3 linked regions of the Arabidopsis thaliana genome follow. The protein of the gene in region 1 interacts with the protein of each later gene in a pairwise test. Each region holds a gene or a part of one and is shown on either strand. Other genes may lie near its edges.

Region 1 (3,742 bases):
TTCTGTTTCTTCTCTGTTTATTATCTAAGCTTTGATTTCACCATAGATGGAGATGACAGAATTGTCTTGCTTGACTCGGTCGCGTTCATCCCCGTTCTTCACCAGCCTCCTTCTTCCAATCTTTACTACGTTATAAGGCGAAGAGGGAAACATGCAGGGTATGATTCTATTGAATCTTTCTCATGTTATGTAGATATCAAAGTTTATCGTTTTAGTTTTAATTAAGCCAAGATTAATAGTTTAGCGGCCTAAATTCACATCTTTTAAAACTTTGATTGGTATTGCAGAGAAGCATGTGTTAGTGCAAAAGAAGAGGACAAAGTTTCTTGTTGCCTTTGTTTTACTTATGTCTCTAATGCTACGCCAAGGCTTCTTGATCCTTTTGACATATACCAACAATTTGAGATACATCAAAGAGGCTCATCAACTCGCAAGTTTTTCGCTACATCTGTTGCTTCAGATGGAATACCACCTCGGTTCCTGAGGAGAAAAGGCTGGACCGTTCCTTTCTCTGCTTCCCAAGACTATGGTTTGATTGATGATGCAAAGGGTGTAGTTGATGCAAAGCTGCGCTATGAGCTTCCCGATTTCGGTAAGAGTGTAGTAGTTGGAAAATGGTATGTTCCGTTTTTGTTTGTAAAGGAAGGAGATGCTAAAGATCAGATGAAGAAATCGATGTATTATAGTATGACACTTCACCAAAGATTTGAAGAGGTTTTCTTCTGCGAAAACGTTGACAATAAAAATTGCGAGGTTATAGTTGATGTGGAGGTAGAAACAGAAGTGGTTAAGCTTGAAGGAGAAAATATTGGAAGAGAGACAAAAGGTGTGAATTCAGATGGAGTTGTCTGGTTTGGTGTCTCAGAGACTCAGAAGATAGGTATTGGGTCTGTGGTCTTGGAGAGGATGAAATGGGAAGAAGAGAGGTTTGGGTGGTCGAAGAAAGGCAATGAACTAAAGTCTAGCATTAAGAGAACTGAGAAATTTGAAGGCGGTGGACCACAATGGAAGAGTTATAGATGCTATGTACTGGTAGAGACCTTTGAACTGAAGAAAACTGATGGGAGTTTGGTATTGACGTATGAGTTTAGACATGTTGATAAGTTGAAGAGTAAGTGGGATTGACTTTATTTCAGCTTCTTTGTGTGTTATGTGTTCAATTTATGGTGTGTTCATTTTATTGAAAGGTTAATGCAAGTTCATGTGTTATGTGGTGAAGCTAACTTGCACAAAAAGGGTGTATACTCTAAAAGGAAAAAAACCTCAAAAGTTTTGTAATTATTTTGTAGAAAAGCATTAGCTAGTGCCAAAGAGTAAGACAGAGTCCCCTGTTTCTTTTGCTTCAGTTTCTTCCTGAAGCTAAGTCACAAGAAGCAGATCCTTATAGTTAGGTCAATCATAATATAAAGAAAATATAGAATTTGTTTGATTGATTCTCCATGATAGGTTTGTGAAACCAGGTCAAGGTCATAACTTTGGAATTCTAAAGTTTGAATTGAACCATAAAGTAAAAAAATTTGAAAAGTCTTCAAACGATAACTTGTAAAATTTGCTTACCGCGTTATCCTCAATACATGGTGCAATATATAAACATATCATATCTCTTCTAATCAATAACCTGATCAAGATTCTGAATTCAAGATGTATGTTACAAGGCATCTCTCCGAATACCAGAGAAACTCGTCGGACTTGACACGATCGTTGCCGGAAGGTCCAAACTCCGGCGTACTTGTGATTCAAGACGAAGAGTCAAAACCGACTTGTTGCTTTGGAAATTGCTACGATGGTGAACTCAAAGGCTTACCGTTCCCACAGAACGCAAAGCTGACTGTGACTTACAGAACCGGAACTGGTAATGACAGGCGCAGTTACCATGACCAGGTTCTGTTCATTCCGGTTCTTGATCAGCCTTATTATTCGAACCGTTATTATGTCATTAAACGACGTGGGAAGCAATCAGGGTATGGCCAAAAATCTTAATTACTTTCTTGACTTTGTTTTGTTTTTTTGAGGTTTTAATCAATTTATGTCATGCATGGTTCGAGATACTTGCTTTTGGGTTTGGTTTTCTTGGGATGGTTTCGGTTTGACCGGATTGGCCACCCCTTTTGACCTGACTTGCACAAATGGTATTCATTAAAAAAAAACTAATTTTGGATTGCAGAGGAGCTTCGGCGAGTGCAAAGGAAGAAGACAGAGTCCCCTGCTGCTTTTGCTTCAGCTATGTTCCTGAAGTTAAGCCACAAGAAGCAGATCCTTATGATATATATCAACAGTTCGAGGTCCATCAACGTAAACCATCATCAGGCTATTACACTGCCACTTCAGTTGCTCCTAATGGGATACCACCAGAGTTCCTTAAGAGAAAGTACTGGACCGTTGAGTATTCGAATTCCCAAGACTTTGGTTTGACAGATGATGCAAAAGGGATCAACACTACGCTTCGTTCCAAGCTTCCCAACGATATGAATACAAGTGTTGTGGTAGGGAAATGGTATGTTCCTTTCATATTTGTGAAAGAAAGAGATGCAAAAGATCAGATTAAGAGCTCACCTTATTACAGCATGACGCTTAAACAAAGATGGGAAGAGGTTTACTCATGCGTAAACGTTAACTACAACCAAAAAGGAGGAGAGGTTGTAGTTGATGTTGACGTAGAAACACAAGTGGTAAAGCTTGAGGGACAAGAAACTATTTCTAGAGAGACAAGTGGTGGTGGATTTGTTTGGTTTAGTGTTTTAGGGGATGAGAGACAAGACAAGAAGATAGGTCTTGGGTCTGTTGTCGTGGAGAGGATGAAATGGGAAGAGGAAAGGTTCGGATGGTTAAACAACGGTGAAAGATCTAACATTAAGAGATCAGAGAGATTTGAAGGCGGGTCATCGCATTGGAAGAGTTATCGATGTTTGGTATTGATAGAGAGCTTCGAATTGAAGAGAATGGATGGGAGTTTGGTGTTGACATATGAGTTTACGCATGTTGATAAGTTAAAGAGCAAGTGGGATTGAGTTTTTTATTCATCTTTGTTCAGTTTCTTTGTGTGTCATCTTTTGGTTCAATAATTAATTTAATGAATAAGTTTTATGCAATTTCATGTAGTAATTAAAAAAAAAAAAAAGTTCGCATTTAAATTCACGTAAATTTCAATTATGAATCATTTATTTGATCATTCTTCTTAAATGTTTTTTTTTTAATATTGTAAACTTGTAACCCTCATTCCAACAACTATGGCCCTCCATTTTTTTAATATAAATCAAGTTCTTTGAAAGTTGCTGATAACGTGTTTTGATTCTACTACCAATTTAAAAGTCTTCACATACGAGTTTAGACATGTTTATAAGTTGAAGAGAAAGTGAGATTGAGAGCTTTTCCAATTTGATTCTCATATCTCCATAATTTATTTAATTTTATGATGTCTCTTAAATTCTGCTTCAAGTTCTGTTTTTTGGGGGCTCTGTTTCAATACAAAACCTCTGTTCTGCAGATTGCTCAAATGAACAATTATGAAGTTAATGGTCATAATTTGGAACTCAAAGTAGATAAAAACTTAAGTTACGTGATAGAATTTAAAAACAATGTGATGTGAATTTAAAAACTGCCAAAAAGGACTTCCATAAAAGCTAAGTCAAAGATCTCGGAAAAGTCTTAAAAAACAATGTTGATTGAGCCGCTAGTGAGATTATTTTTTCTAGTGATTTGAGTCTTGTCTTGTAGGATTCTTGTTGCTTCTCTACCACAACTA
Region 2 (5,746 bases), on another chromosome or scaffold:
GGAGGAGCTGGTGGAATGCATATAATTCCAGCGGTGCTTCAAGTGTTTCTTAATTGCTTTGTGTTGAATATGAAACCTAAAGAAGCAGTAGAGAGTGCCAGAATATACCATAGAGTATGCATAGTTCAAAACCATCTGATTGTTGTTACTAACATTCAAAATGAAATACTCAATGTATTTTGGTTGTTGTTGCAGTTGATACCAAATGTTGTTTCCTATGAGAACTTCACCACGATCAATGGCGATCACATAGGGGTTTCAGAAGATACCAAGATGTTTCTAGCAGAGAGAGGACATGAGCTAAAGGAGCTATCAGGTGGAGCTATAGTTCAACTTATTGTTCAGAGTTTCAAGGAAGAGAAAGAAGAAGAAATGATTATTGAAATTGGAAGGAAAATCGGAAAGAAATCGAAACCATTAAAGGGCTTACTTACTGCAGTTAGTGATCCTCGAAAAGATGGAAAGCCAGCTGCAGTTTGATTTCGTTATTAAGCTAATTACAAATTTCCTCATTCAAGTCCCATTCTCTATCATGTAAATTTGAATAAAGTTACATGAGCCTCAAAGACTCAGCGTGGGATATATACAGAAGCAAAGTTGTAGTTGGAACCAAGAGTTGTTACATTATTCTCACAAGAGTTATCTCTCTCTCTTCTCTTTGCTTGAAGAATATTATAAAACAATTTTTGAAAAGCTTTCTATTAAATTAAGAAACCTTACTTCCCAAACAAAGATGTCCTCAAGTCAAAACACAAACGAATGTTTTTGTAGACAGTGTTGATCACCATTTCATGGTCCCTGGTTCACCAACCAACTGGTTTGAGTGGATCTTGTCAGCTTGCTTCATGAAACTCGGTTGGTTCGTCGAAGACAAAAGCCTCGCCCACATTCTGTCAGTGATCACCACCTTGTTCTGTTTCTCCGTGATCCTCTACACAATATTCAAACCATGTTATTAGGATTCCCAAATTGATATAAATGTAAGAGATGCTCAGGTATGAGTATTTGGTCCTGAGACTCACATTGAAGGGAATGTAAGTATGTCTTCCATTGACAAGGCCAACAGTGAAACCATTGTAACCAGCCATCACTCCATGAACCGCGCTTTGAGCTAAAAGCGTGCAGCATACATTGTCTGATGCATTGCTCGGAACAGCTCGTATCATGTAGGTTGGATCTGAAAGACACCAAAAAAGAAGAAGAAACTTTATCTATTATGTTCCACATACACAAAAGAAAAACTCATAAGATATCTATATACCTATATATTTGAGGGTAAGGGTCATCTTCTTGGCAAAATGATCCTATATAAGAAGAGACAAAGGAAAGCAAATCATTTTCTCAGTTTTTGTCTCACGAAAATCCTCTGTTTTTAGGAATGTCAATAATGTTAACCTTGATTCTTTGGGAGATCCATAGGCCAATGTCTTGAAGAAGTTTGTTTCCAGAGGCATCTTTGAGAGTTGTGGACTCTTTCATGCTTTCAGACAACAGATCTTGTCCCGCACCTTCTGCAATTACAATCACCATATGACCACTCTCCTTTAACCGTTTATCGATAAATTCAAAAAGCCCGCCCGAGCCTTCAAGAAAAAATGGAGATTCCGGGATCAAGCAACAGTCCACATCTCGGCTGGCTAGAGTGGCATGCATTGCAATGAATCCTGCACAAACCCTTAAGAATCCGTAAACATCTCTTCGGTGCTCAGCTAAACTTGGGTGAAAACTACCTAAGTCTAGGGAAACTTCTTACCGCTGTACCGTCCCATTAACTTCACAAGACCAATACCATTCTCAAAGCTTGTAGCTTCGACATGTGCTGCATTGATAGCACGTTGAGCCTCTTCTACAGCTGTGTCAAACCCGAAAGATCTATCGATAATCTGTACCGAGAAAGAACAAACAGTCATTATCCCAAACAACCATAAGAATCTACGATACAATATCGAAATCTCAAACCATTAGGGGGGAAAAAAGAATTACAGGAATGTCATTGTCAATTGTTTTCGGGATTCCGGCAACCGCAACTTTAAGCTTGCGTTTCCTAATCTCCTGCAGAGACAGTCATTAAAGAAATAACCAACGCAATTATTGATCAGAAGTAGTTATGCCTACCTCGAATATAGCAGCTGCTCCTTTCTGTGATCCATCTCCACCGATTATATAAACCTGGTTAATCCCGCGATCTTGAATACTATCTACTATCTTGGTGGTGTTGTGACCGCCTCTTGAAGTCCCGAGGATAGTTCCTCCGCTTCTATGGATATCATTCACTGTTTTTAAGTCCAAATGGATTGTGTTTCTCGCGTAAAATCCTCTGTAACCTCCCTGCAACCAAATTTGATCACAAGATTAATATATTGAGCTAAAAAATTGAGAGCAATGCTGAAAGAATAACTAAACCAATGAGACTTACATCAATGCCAAGGATTCTCTTGACACCATACATATAAGATAATCCACAAACTATCTCTCTGATCACAGTATTAAGCCCGGGACATAGACCGCCACATGTAACAATGCAAGCAAGAACATCATCCGACTCAAAGTAAACCTGCGTAAACAAAACAGTCCCATCAACACTCACCTTCTCAAGCATAGACTCTTTGAAAAGAGACAGAATCTACCCTTTGACGTGGTCCTGCACGACGGAAATGCGTTCCCCTAGGACTATCAGGATGAACTACTATCTACAAAAAGGCGAAACCAGAATCTTCATCAACGAGAGACGAATAAACAAACGCTAATGGCTAAAGGAGAGAGTGTTGTACTTACTTTTTGAGGAACCGTGTCATCCTCATCGACAAAATACTGCCTGAAAACACATTGAATTTGAATCAATGAAGAAGCTGATGATTCAATCACAAGGAAAGAAAGTTAAGTTCCCTGAGGTAAATCAAACAAACAGTAACTTACTTAACAACAGAGTAAGCTGCATTGTCTTGTAATGGATTTGGATATGTCTGAAACATTCGCATGACACAAACAATAGATTTCATCAGAGAAACGTTAAATGATATTTTAAAAAGGTAACTTTAAACCACAATCATATTAAGTTTCAGTCTTTTTCCCGCTCGCATTTTCAGTCACATTATAGATTGAAATTTAAAAAGTCAGAGAGACGTACAGGATGATCAGGAAAGTCGTCGGAGAAATGAGGAACGTCTTCAAGAATATAACCGGCGGGACCAGTAACAATCTTCCGGTCCGAGTTTGGAACAGAAGATGACATAACCAACCTTTTCGGAGACTCAAAGCTCTGATTGTCCGAAACAATCAAACGGAGACCAGAATCGAAGCTCAATGATCGATATTTTCTACTGATTCTAGGGATTAAAAACCCCAATTGATGATGATGATGATCGGTTTCAGATTGTGTACTCCGACGTGAAGATGATCGGAATCTAAACAAATCCATACAATGAAAGATTACAGAAAATGTCATCACCCATTTTTTTTTTATATGAAACCCAAAAAATGGAACAGTCTTCTTTGACTTCAATTTTTTTTTTTATATTGTTAACAAAAATGGAAACTTTAGAAAATAATTCACCTTTGAAGAAATTTGAAACCAAGATGGAAACAAGAAGTAAGGAGGAGGAGGAAGCAGATCAGGCCATCACGGGCTGGTGGTGAATGTATGGATGAAGAAGATAATGAACAAGTGGCGATATGTTTGTGGTTTTTGCTTTTAATGATGAGAAGATACGAGACATTTCAGAAGAGAAGGTTTTAATTACTTTGGTGCAAAATTGACCATTTCAATAATTGAAGAGTTATATTTAAAATTCGTTGAAAGATTTGGGCTGTGTGTAATAATTATTAATAAAGGACTGATTTTTGATGTTTTTTTTTTATTTTAAAAAGAGAATGATTTTGATATTAATTTTTTTGGAGTGGGTGTTTTGGTTATTGGAGTAGGTTTCTAGTTATAGAAATTTTAGGATACGGCATGAACTATGCTCTAGCCTACACCGGCATGTTTCTCATTTGACATAAATTGTAAGTCAAAACATATTTCCCTAATTGGGCTTGATTTCCCTAATTACATTTATTTTCATATTGCGTAAGACTAGGCTTAAGGGAAATTGACACAAAAATGTGTAAGGGAAAGAACTAAGTATGTCCGGCCCACATGACAGAACATCTAATTTAAAATGGGTAAAGCTCATAAGCCCACTAATATTCTGATTTCTGAACCAATTGACCAACCACAATTTGCCCATGTTCTAAGATTTCTTTCATGTGTTTACCAATGCAAGAGACTTTACCGTTAGAATACAAATCTATTCGATCAAAGTTGTGTTTTCTGTAAGAATATCTTCCATCATGCAAAAGTTTATTACATGTCTATGGTTACAAATTGGTTAATAATATATCTAATATGCATTTGTAACCTTTGACAATCAGCTAAGATAAATAACCTAATTTGTTTTTGTTTCTTATATCTCTCTTCATTTAGCATCCAAAAAATTAAAACTGAATTTGATCTAGTAGAACTTTGTGATAGGAAATGGGATAAAACGGAGCTCAAATTCTATTAAGTTCTAAAGACTTCTAAAACAAGAATTATGGCAAAGATATGATAATACCCAGACAAAGAGGCAATCATAGGCATCTATATGTTTTATTCAAGACATGTCTTTGGCCCCTCCATGATTTCATTCTTTGACTCTATAAATTATTTTGAATTTTCTTCTTTTATTTAAGAAATAATATAATTATGATGGGTATTCTATAAATACACAAGATTATATATATGTATGTATTATATATGAATTTCTTTGCCTCTCTTTTTGGTTTGGTGGCGTTCTAACGTTGGGATTGAGATTGTCATTTTTTTTTGTTAAAGGAATGAGATTGTCTTTTGTATATCCTTAACTTGAGTTGTCCAAAAAAAAAAAAAAAAAAAAGTATATCCTTCACTTGAAACTCTTGACGTTAAAGTTACAATCCTTGAGAAATCGAAATGAATTTTAATTTATAAATCTAGCTAGCTATTTAGATTCTTTTTTGCTGTGGTTATGTTTTCAATCTAAACAAACCATTTATTATCTCAAATTATTTTTAACATTTCGGTCCCGCTTAATTATTATTTTTAGCAATATATTTTTTTTTTTACTGATTTAGTGATTTTCAAATCATAATGAATAGTTTAATTTATGTTACAAGAAAAGCTGAAGTATAATTTTGGCAGTTTATCTTAGATTTCAGAACCATAAGAATATAAAATGTTCAAAGAGAGTTCCAAGACCTAAACACTTCAATCCAATCGAAAGATCTCAAATTCAAGGATGGACCCAGAGTTTGTGGGGGCTACGTTAATCTTATTTCATACTACATCATATAAGAGCCGTATAAGCATATTACACCTGACACTTTCTAGACTAAACCGCTTCTAATCAAAAAATTTAAAATGCAGCGTGACCGGAAATCAAGAAAAGCAAAATACTATTTTTGTTGTTACAATTAGGATTAAGGCTTATGTAAAAATGAATCTATTTTTCTTACACTTCATTCGAGAATTTTAAGTGTACGATACAGTTTTCTTCTATTCTTTTTTTTTCCTTTGGTAGTTTTGACCATCTATTGATTTTTCTTTCTCAAATAAGTTGACGTAAACCACATTACATAGATTATACGATAGAACTCATAATCATTACAGTCAAGATACTCAAGATTGTTATGAATTATTATATGATAGATATGTTTAAAGAACGAACACAAATTCAGTTAATAGGCGTAA
Region 3 (5,751 bases), on another chromosome or scaffold:
TTTGTTCCCAAAGTAGACCGATGATTTCTAGGGAAATAAATTAATAGAGTCGATTTTGATGTGTATTAGTTTCCTATTAAAGCAATGTACGTTAATGTTGTGTTTTTTTTTTAGTTTAATAATAATACTAGTATTTTCAGATTTTTATATGATTGTTAATAAAATTATTTCGAGTCATCCATAATGGTCCTGAACAACTTCATAGCCGTGTGTATAAATATGTGTTTGTATACAAAAGAGAAAATAACAAATGAAATGAAACGACGTTTTTGTTTTCTATTGGGTAAGAATTAAATTTCTAGTAAATCTGTTATAAAATTTACATACATAGAGTGTAATAAACAAAAATAAGGGAGCAGTTTGGACAAAGAGTTTGCAGTGAGTCTGATAAAACGACACAACCTGATTCAAGTCTAACCATGCAACTAAATTGAAGACCTAGAAAAATTAATGTTAATTGAGTTTCAACTAACCATTTCAAATTTGTGTTAAGCTAATTTATTTATCTTAATCAACTAACGTAATTTGTTTTTAAACTGCTATTTGCTAAATTCATTATGTAGGAGTAGCCGAGTAGGACCCTGAATGGTACGCTCAAAAGAGGTAGCAGCGTCATCGAACTTAACGTTAGGACACCCTATGATTGATCGTATCAAATGACCAAAATTAAAAAGATGATTGAGTAAACCAATTAATTTTGGTATATAAACAATCTTTTTATTATCGTACACATTTTTGGGATGTGATGTGACTAATGAAAGGTTTAAATATATTTAAACATGATAAACGCAGAAACCACCATATAGAGGAGAAACTAGAAAAATATAATTTGTCAGTCATGTGTCTAAATCCACACCTACTTTTTTCTCATGCTTTTTTTCTTCCTGCAAATATTGCATTTCCTTTGCCTCTCTCACACATTTCCTCTGTCACTTTCTTTTTTATATATTTTTATTTCGGAATTCCATTACCGTGAAAAAGCTTTGTTTACAACAGTAATTTTGTTTCAAATGCTTTCTTGTTGTCTATTTTTATCAATTACTATGCCTCTGCTTGAATAACTTAAAAACACAAGTGATGTTAATTGTGTTATTGTAGATCCTATGAACAAATTTAATTTATAGACGTGTGAAGTTATAAATGAAAGATATCATTGAGTGAGTGATCACCGTTGCAGATAATGTTTAAAGAAAAAAAAAAGGAACAGTTCCTTGTTCATGTCATCATGTGTTGAAAACGGAAGGAGGGAAAGAAAAATCTATCACTCTCAGATTCAGAGCCTCACGTGGGGTAAACTTAGAATTCTATTTTTAGGTACGAATCAAAATATACGACCCGTCGCTTTTAACATGTCATTTATTATACCTTTCACTCTCATTTCCTCCATGCTTTTTTTTTAAAACGTAATTAGACCTATTCATTCTCCATAATATAATACATAAATACAACTTATAAGATTAATAGCCTCGTACACTAACATTAAAGAGTAAATAACCGTTTGTATTTTCCATCTTTTGATTAATGATAACTATAATTTATGAAGAACATCCATAAACTCATGAGTTTTATTTTGAACGCAACATCCATATTTAGCTTTACATTCATTTTTTTAATAAGATTTCAGTCATAGTTCGAAAAATGAATGTTGGGTTGGTTCCGATGGTAAAGCGAGCCGTATCAACAAAAAAGGCCCAAATAAAAAGTGGTATACTGTTGGGCCTAAAGATGAATATACAGAAGCCCATATTAAGACAATTCGGCCCATTCAGCATTGCGTAGCAATCGAATTGATATTTAGCAAATCGAGGAAAGCAATTGACTAACTAGATAATACTGATAAGTGGGTCCCACATAATTCTGACAGCTTAGAGATGGAGAAGATCATCACCGTTAGTCCAAGTTGGGTCAATAAGGCTTACGCCGTTGGATATCAAGATATCCGTTAGATCGCATACACGTGGATACTGTTCAATACTCCTGACCGCAGGGGATAAGACACGTGTTATATTAACGAAGAGTAAGAATGGTTTCTAATAATTTCTTCGCTCCCTTTCTTCTTCTTCTCTCCTTCTTTGAATTTTGATTTTGGTTGAATGGAGATATCAGAGAGAGTTCGAGCTCGATTAGCTGTTCTCTCAGGTCATTTATCGGAAGGAAAACAGGATTCTCCAGCGATCGAGCGATGGTGCACGTCGGCGGATACGAGTGTCGCACCGCTTGGATCTTTGAAGGGAACACTGACGATCGTCGACGAACGCACCGGAAAAAATTATAAAGTTCCGGTCTCAGATGATGGTACCGTTAAAGCCGTTGATTTCAAAAAGGTTTAACCCTTTTTCTAAATGACCATTTTCCTATCACTGTGGGATTTTGAGCTGAGAATTTGCTTTGTTGCGTGTTGTTTGGCTTGCAGATAGTGACGGGGAAGGAAGACAAGGGGCTTAAGTTATACGATCCAGGTTACTTGAACACGGCTCCTGTTCGATCTTCGATTTCTTACATCGATGGAGATGAAGGGATCCTTCGTTACCGTGGCTACCCAATTGAGGAAATGGCTGAGAACAGTACTTTTCTGGAGGTGGCTTATCTTCTCAGTAAGTGTTTTACCTTTTAACCTTACTACACAATTTCAAGTGTTATGTGTATCGAATTGGACATTGATGAAAAGTTTTCTCCTTTACTATATTTTCTGGCAGTGTATGGGAATCTGCCCTCTGAAAGTCAGCTATCTGATTGGGAGTTTGCAGTTTCTCAGCATTCAGCTGTGCCACAAGGTGTATTAGTGAGTCTCTAATCCTTGGTTGATGGATTTCAATTTCGATTTGTAAAATGGAGTTAGCCTGTTCTTTACTAGTAGCCTATTTTCTTGTCTGGTCGAACAATAATTTGTCAAGACTGTTCTATACATGTTGTTCTGAGGATTGTGTGCTGTACTCAAAGCTATATATTTCTCATATCTAACTCCACTTACTTGATAACTTTTGTGCAGGATATTATACAGTCTATGCCTCATGATGCACACCCAATGGGAGTTCTTGTGAGTGCAATGAGTGCGCTTTCCATCTTTCATCCTGATGCTAATCCTGCTCTTAGGGTAGGTTTAACCTTATATTACTTCTCTAACAACATGTCAGGCCTTGTCACTCGCTAGTTTTAGCTCTTTTGAAATTGTCCGTATAAACATGTTGACTGATACTCTATTGGGTGCAGGGCCAGGATATTTACGATTCAAAACAAGTTAGAGATAAACAAATTATCCGCATTATTGGAAAGGTATTTTTTTGTTATCAGTGGTTACCTTACTTCTTCCTATATTGTGTCACGCATAAACATATTTGGACTCTGAATTTCATGAAGATCTGATGCAACTAAACGTGTTTGCGATTTGTGCAGGCACCAACAATTGCAGCAGCTGCTTATCTGAGGATGGCAGGAAGGCCTCCTGTTCTTCCTTCAGGAAACCTTCCTTATGCAGATAATTTCCTCTATATGCTTGATTCCCTGTATGTCTCTGCTATCTCTTTCTTCTTGAATTAGTTAGAAACTCAACTTTTAGATTTAGTTTTAGATCTTGACGCTTCAGAGAACTTGAAGCCTAGTTATTTTTTTACTGTGTACATAACTTGTAGCGTGCCATTAACACACTTCTTACAGGGGAAATAGATCCTACAAACCTAATCCTCGGCTGGCTCGGGTGTTGGACATCCTCTTCATACTGCATGCAGAGCATGAAATGAACTGCTCCACCGCTGCTGCTCGGCATCTTGCCTCTAGGTACTTATCTTTGGTTGGAATCTTAGTGACCTTGATAGGAGATATATTGATTAGGAAATGTCTTCTTGTAGCGGTGTTGATGTCTACACTGCTGTTGCTGGAGCTGTGGGAGCGCTTTATGGTCCACTTCATGGTGGTGCAAACGAGGTATGCTATTTATTCTCATGTCTTCATATGTTACATCTTCTGATGTATTTTCATGCTCCATGGTCTTTGAAATTCATGTCTTTGGTTCCATTAGGCTGTGCTTAAGATGTTGTCAGAGATTGGGACTGTTGAAAATATTCCAGAGTTCATTGAGGGTGTGAAGAACAGGTAAAATCAATTCTTGAAACTATATGCTTCCGTTTCCGAGGTTTGTGACAAGTCTTTTCATTAAAATTCTCATCCCTTTGACATCTTAGGAAGAGGAAGATGTCTGGTTTTGGACACCGTGTGTACAAAAACTATGACCCTCGAGCTAAAGTCATCAAGAACCTGGCTGATGAAGTATTTTCCATTGTTGGAAAGGATCCTCTAATTGAGGTACGCTATGTCCACGAAGTTCAAGCTTATACTACAACTTGATGCCCACCTTTTCGATTTAGTGTAATTTTTCATGTTTCCTTAAAGCCAATGTGTTTGATTCTGATGTCTGCAGGTTGCTGTTGCACTTGAGAAGGCAGCTCTCTCTGACGATTACTTTGTTAAGAGAAAGCTGTATCCAAATGTTGACTTCTACTCTGGATTAATATACAGGTAAAAGTTTGAATGCATGTGCAGTATCCATAACTTCCTCTCAACTTCATCTAAATCTGCAAACTTGGACCATTACAACAGGGCAATGGGATTTCCACCGGAGTTCTTCACGGTCTTATTCGCGATTCCTCGCATGGCTGGATACTTGTCACATTGGAAAGAGTCACTGGATGATCCTGACACCAAGATCATGAGACCACAACAGGTATAGTTAATCTCTTTCCAAGAATAATAAGAGAAAGATTTTTCTTTGGATCAATTTGAAACTTGGATGGTTCATTGGAATATTAAATGTTGCAGGTGTACACAGGCGTGTGGCTGAGGCATTACACACCAGTGAGAGAGAGAATAGTGACGGATGACTCGAAAGAGTCAGACAAATTGGGTCAAGTCGCGACTTCAAATGCATCAAGAAGACGTTTGGCTGGATCTTCAGTTTAGACGTAGGCCCTTTTAGGGTCCATACTATACATCAAACCACACCGCAAAGAATAAAAGAGATTGGTTTCTCTAGCCTAAAGCTAAGATACTTGATCATACTCGAAACTTAGATTTCTCATTTTGTAGGCACAATATAGACTTGATCTATATTTGCTTCAATCCATCTTCTAAGGGTGTTTGTCCGCCTTGTTTGTCTTCTTATCAGAACGTGTTTATTGTATAAAATGATTTATGGTTATGGATTATTACTCTAATTTCTATATCGAATGCTTCTGCAGAGACGTTTGTTGTGAAATATCTCGGCCAAAGCAACAAGTAGAAAACAAAGCACTTTATTAAATCATTGTAAAAACTTTTGAAGATCTATTGTTACAAACTAGGATATCATCAAGCCAGAGTTTCAAAACTCGGAGTTCTTGAAACTTGAAGTAGCCATGTAAATGATACACTCGAAGAAAAAATGATCTGTAAAAAAGCTATATAAGTTACATTACATGTTTTTGTCTGGTGGCTGCATTTTTTGAAGTTGAAGGAGCAGTCCCAGGAAGGCCGTTGATCCTCCTTGGAGGTAGCTTTTGTCCACCAGAAGGAACGCTTCTTGAAGTTGAAGGCGCATTAGCGGATAAGCCAGTCCTCTTTGGAGCAGATATACTATACAAGACATGATCCGTCAAACCGATCAAGTTTGGGGGATAAAGAAGTGGATCCATATAGATATATAGATACTGAGGACATGTTACCTGAAACTCTTCTGAATCGTGTTCTTTTTAGTTTCAGTAAGATTTCGTCCACCATAAG

The links. Proteins that work in one complex are often made in the same cells at the same time.
Region 2: the proteins of AT1G13520 (region 1) and PFK1 interact in a two-hybrid assay, tested with the Arabidopsis thaliana proteins (one large-scale study listed by BioGRID).
Region 3: the proteins of AT1G13520 (region 1) and CSY3 interact in a two-hybrid assay, tested with the Arabidopsis thaliana proteins (one large-scale study listed by BioGRID).

What each region holds. Positions count from the first base shown.
Region 1 is NC_003070.9:4,631,123-4,634,864, reverse strand, and holds AT1G13520 (hypothetical protein (DUF1262)), read left to right. Parts: upstream 1-1,565; 5' UTR 1,566-1,641; coding exon 1,642-1,961; intron 1,962-2,164; coding exon 2,165-3,008; 3' UTR 3,009-3,232; downstream 3,233-3,742. Other genes in the region: AT1G13530 (hypothetical protein (DUF1262)), read left to right, coding at 47-158, 288-1,125.
Region 2 is NC_003075.7:14,402,840-14,408,585, forward strand, and holds PFK1 (phosphofructokinase 1), read right to left. Parts: upstream 3,754-5,746; 5' UTR 3,554-3,753; intron 3,405-3,553; 5' UTR 3,233-3,404; coding exon 3,128-3,232; intron 2,964-3,127; coding exon 2,917-2,963; intron 2,816-2,916; coding exon 2,776-2,815; intron 2,691-2,775; coding exon 2,628-2,690; intron 2,555-2,627; coding exon 2,417-2,554; intron 2,329-2,416; coding exon 2,116-2,328; intron 2,053-2,115; coding exon 1,984-2,052; intron 1,884-1,983; coding exon 1,754-1,883; intron 1,665-1,753; coding exon 1,396-1,664; intron 1,305-1,395; coding exon 1,262-1,304; intron 1,178-1,261; coding exon 1,023-1,177; intron 932-1,022; coding exon 782-931; 3' UTR 508-781; downstream 1-507. Other genes in the region: GGT4 (gamma-glutamyl transpeptidase 4), read left to right, coding at 1-114, 196-480. UniProt on the Arabidopsis thaliana protein: Catalyzes the phosphorylation of D-fructose 6-phosphate to fructose 1,6-bisphosphate by ATP, the first committing step of glycolysis.
Region 3 is NC_003071.7:17,802,334-17,808,084, reverse strand, and holds CSY3 (citrate synthase 3), read left to right. Parts: upstream 1-2,011; 5' UTR 2,012-2,093; coding exon 2,094-2,324; intron 2,325-2,413; coding exon 2,414-2,594; intron 2,595-2,696; coding exon 2,697-2,782; intron 2,783-2,989; coding exon 2,990-3,094; intron 3,095-3,210; coding exon 3,211-3,273; intron 3,274-3,393; coding exon 3,394-3,503; exon of another isoform or gene 3,504-3,654; coding exon 3,655-3,774; intron 3,775-3,845; coding exon 3,846-3,921; intron 3,922-4,015; coding exon 4,016-4,089; intron 4,090-4,178; coding exon 4,179-4,299; intron 4,300-4,414; coding exon 4,415-4,512; intron 4,513-4,593; coding exon 4,594-4,717; intron 4,718-4,812; coding exon 4,813-4,953; 3' UTR 4,954-5,244; downstream 5,245-5,751. Other genes in the region: AT2G42780 (transcription elongation factor B polypeptide), read right to left, coding at 5,439-5,604, 5,694-5,751. UniProt on the Arabidopsis thaliana protein: Peroxisomal citrate synthase required for the fatty acid respiration in seedlings, citrate being exported from peroxisomes into mitochondria during respiration of triacylglycerol (TAG).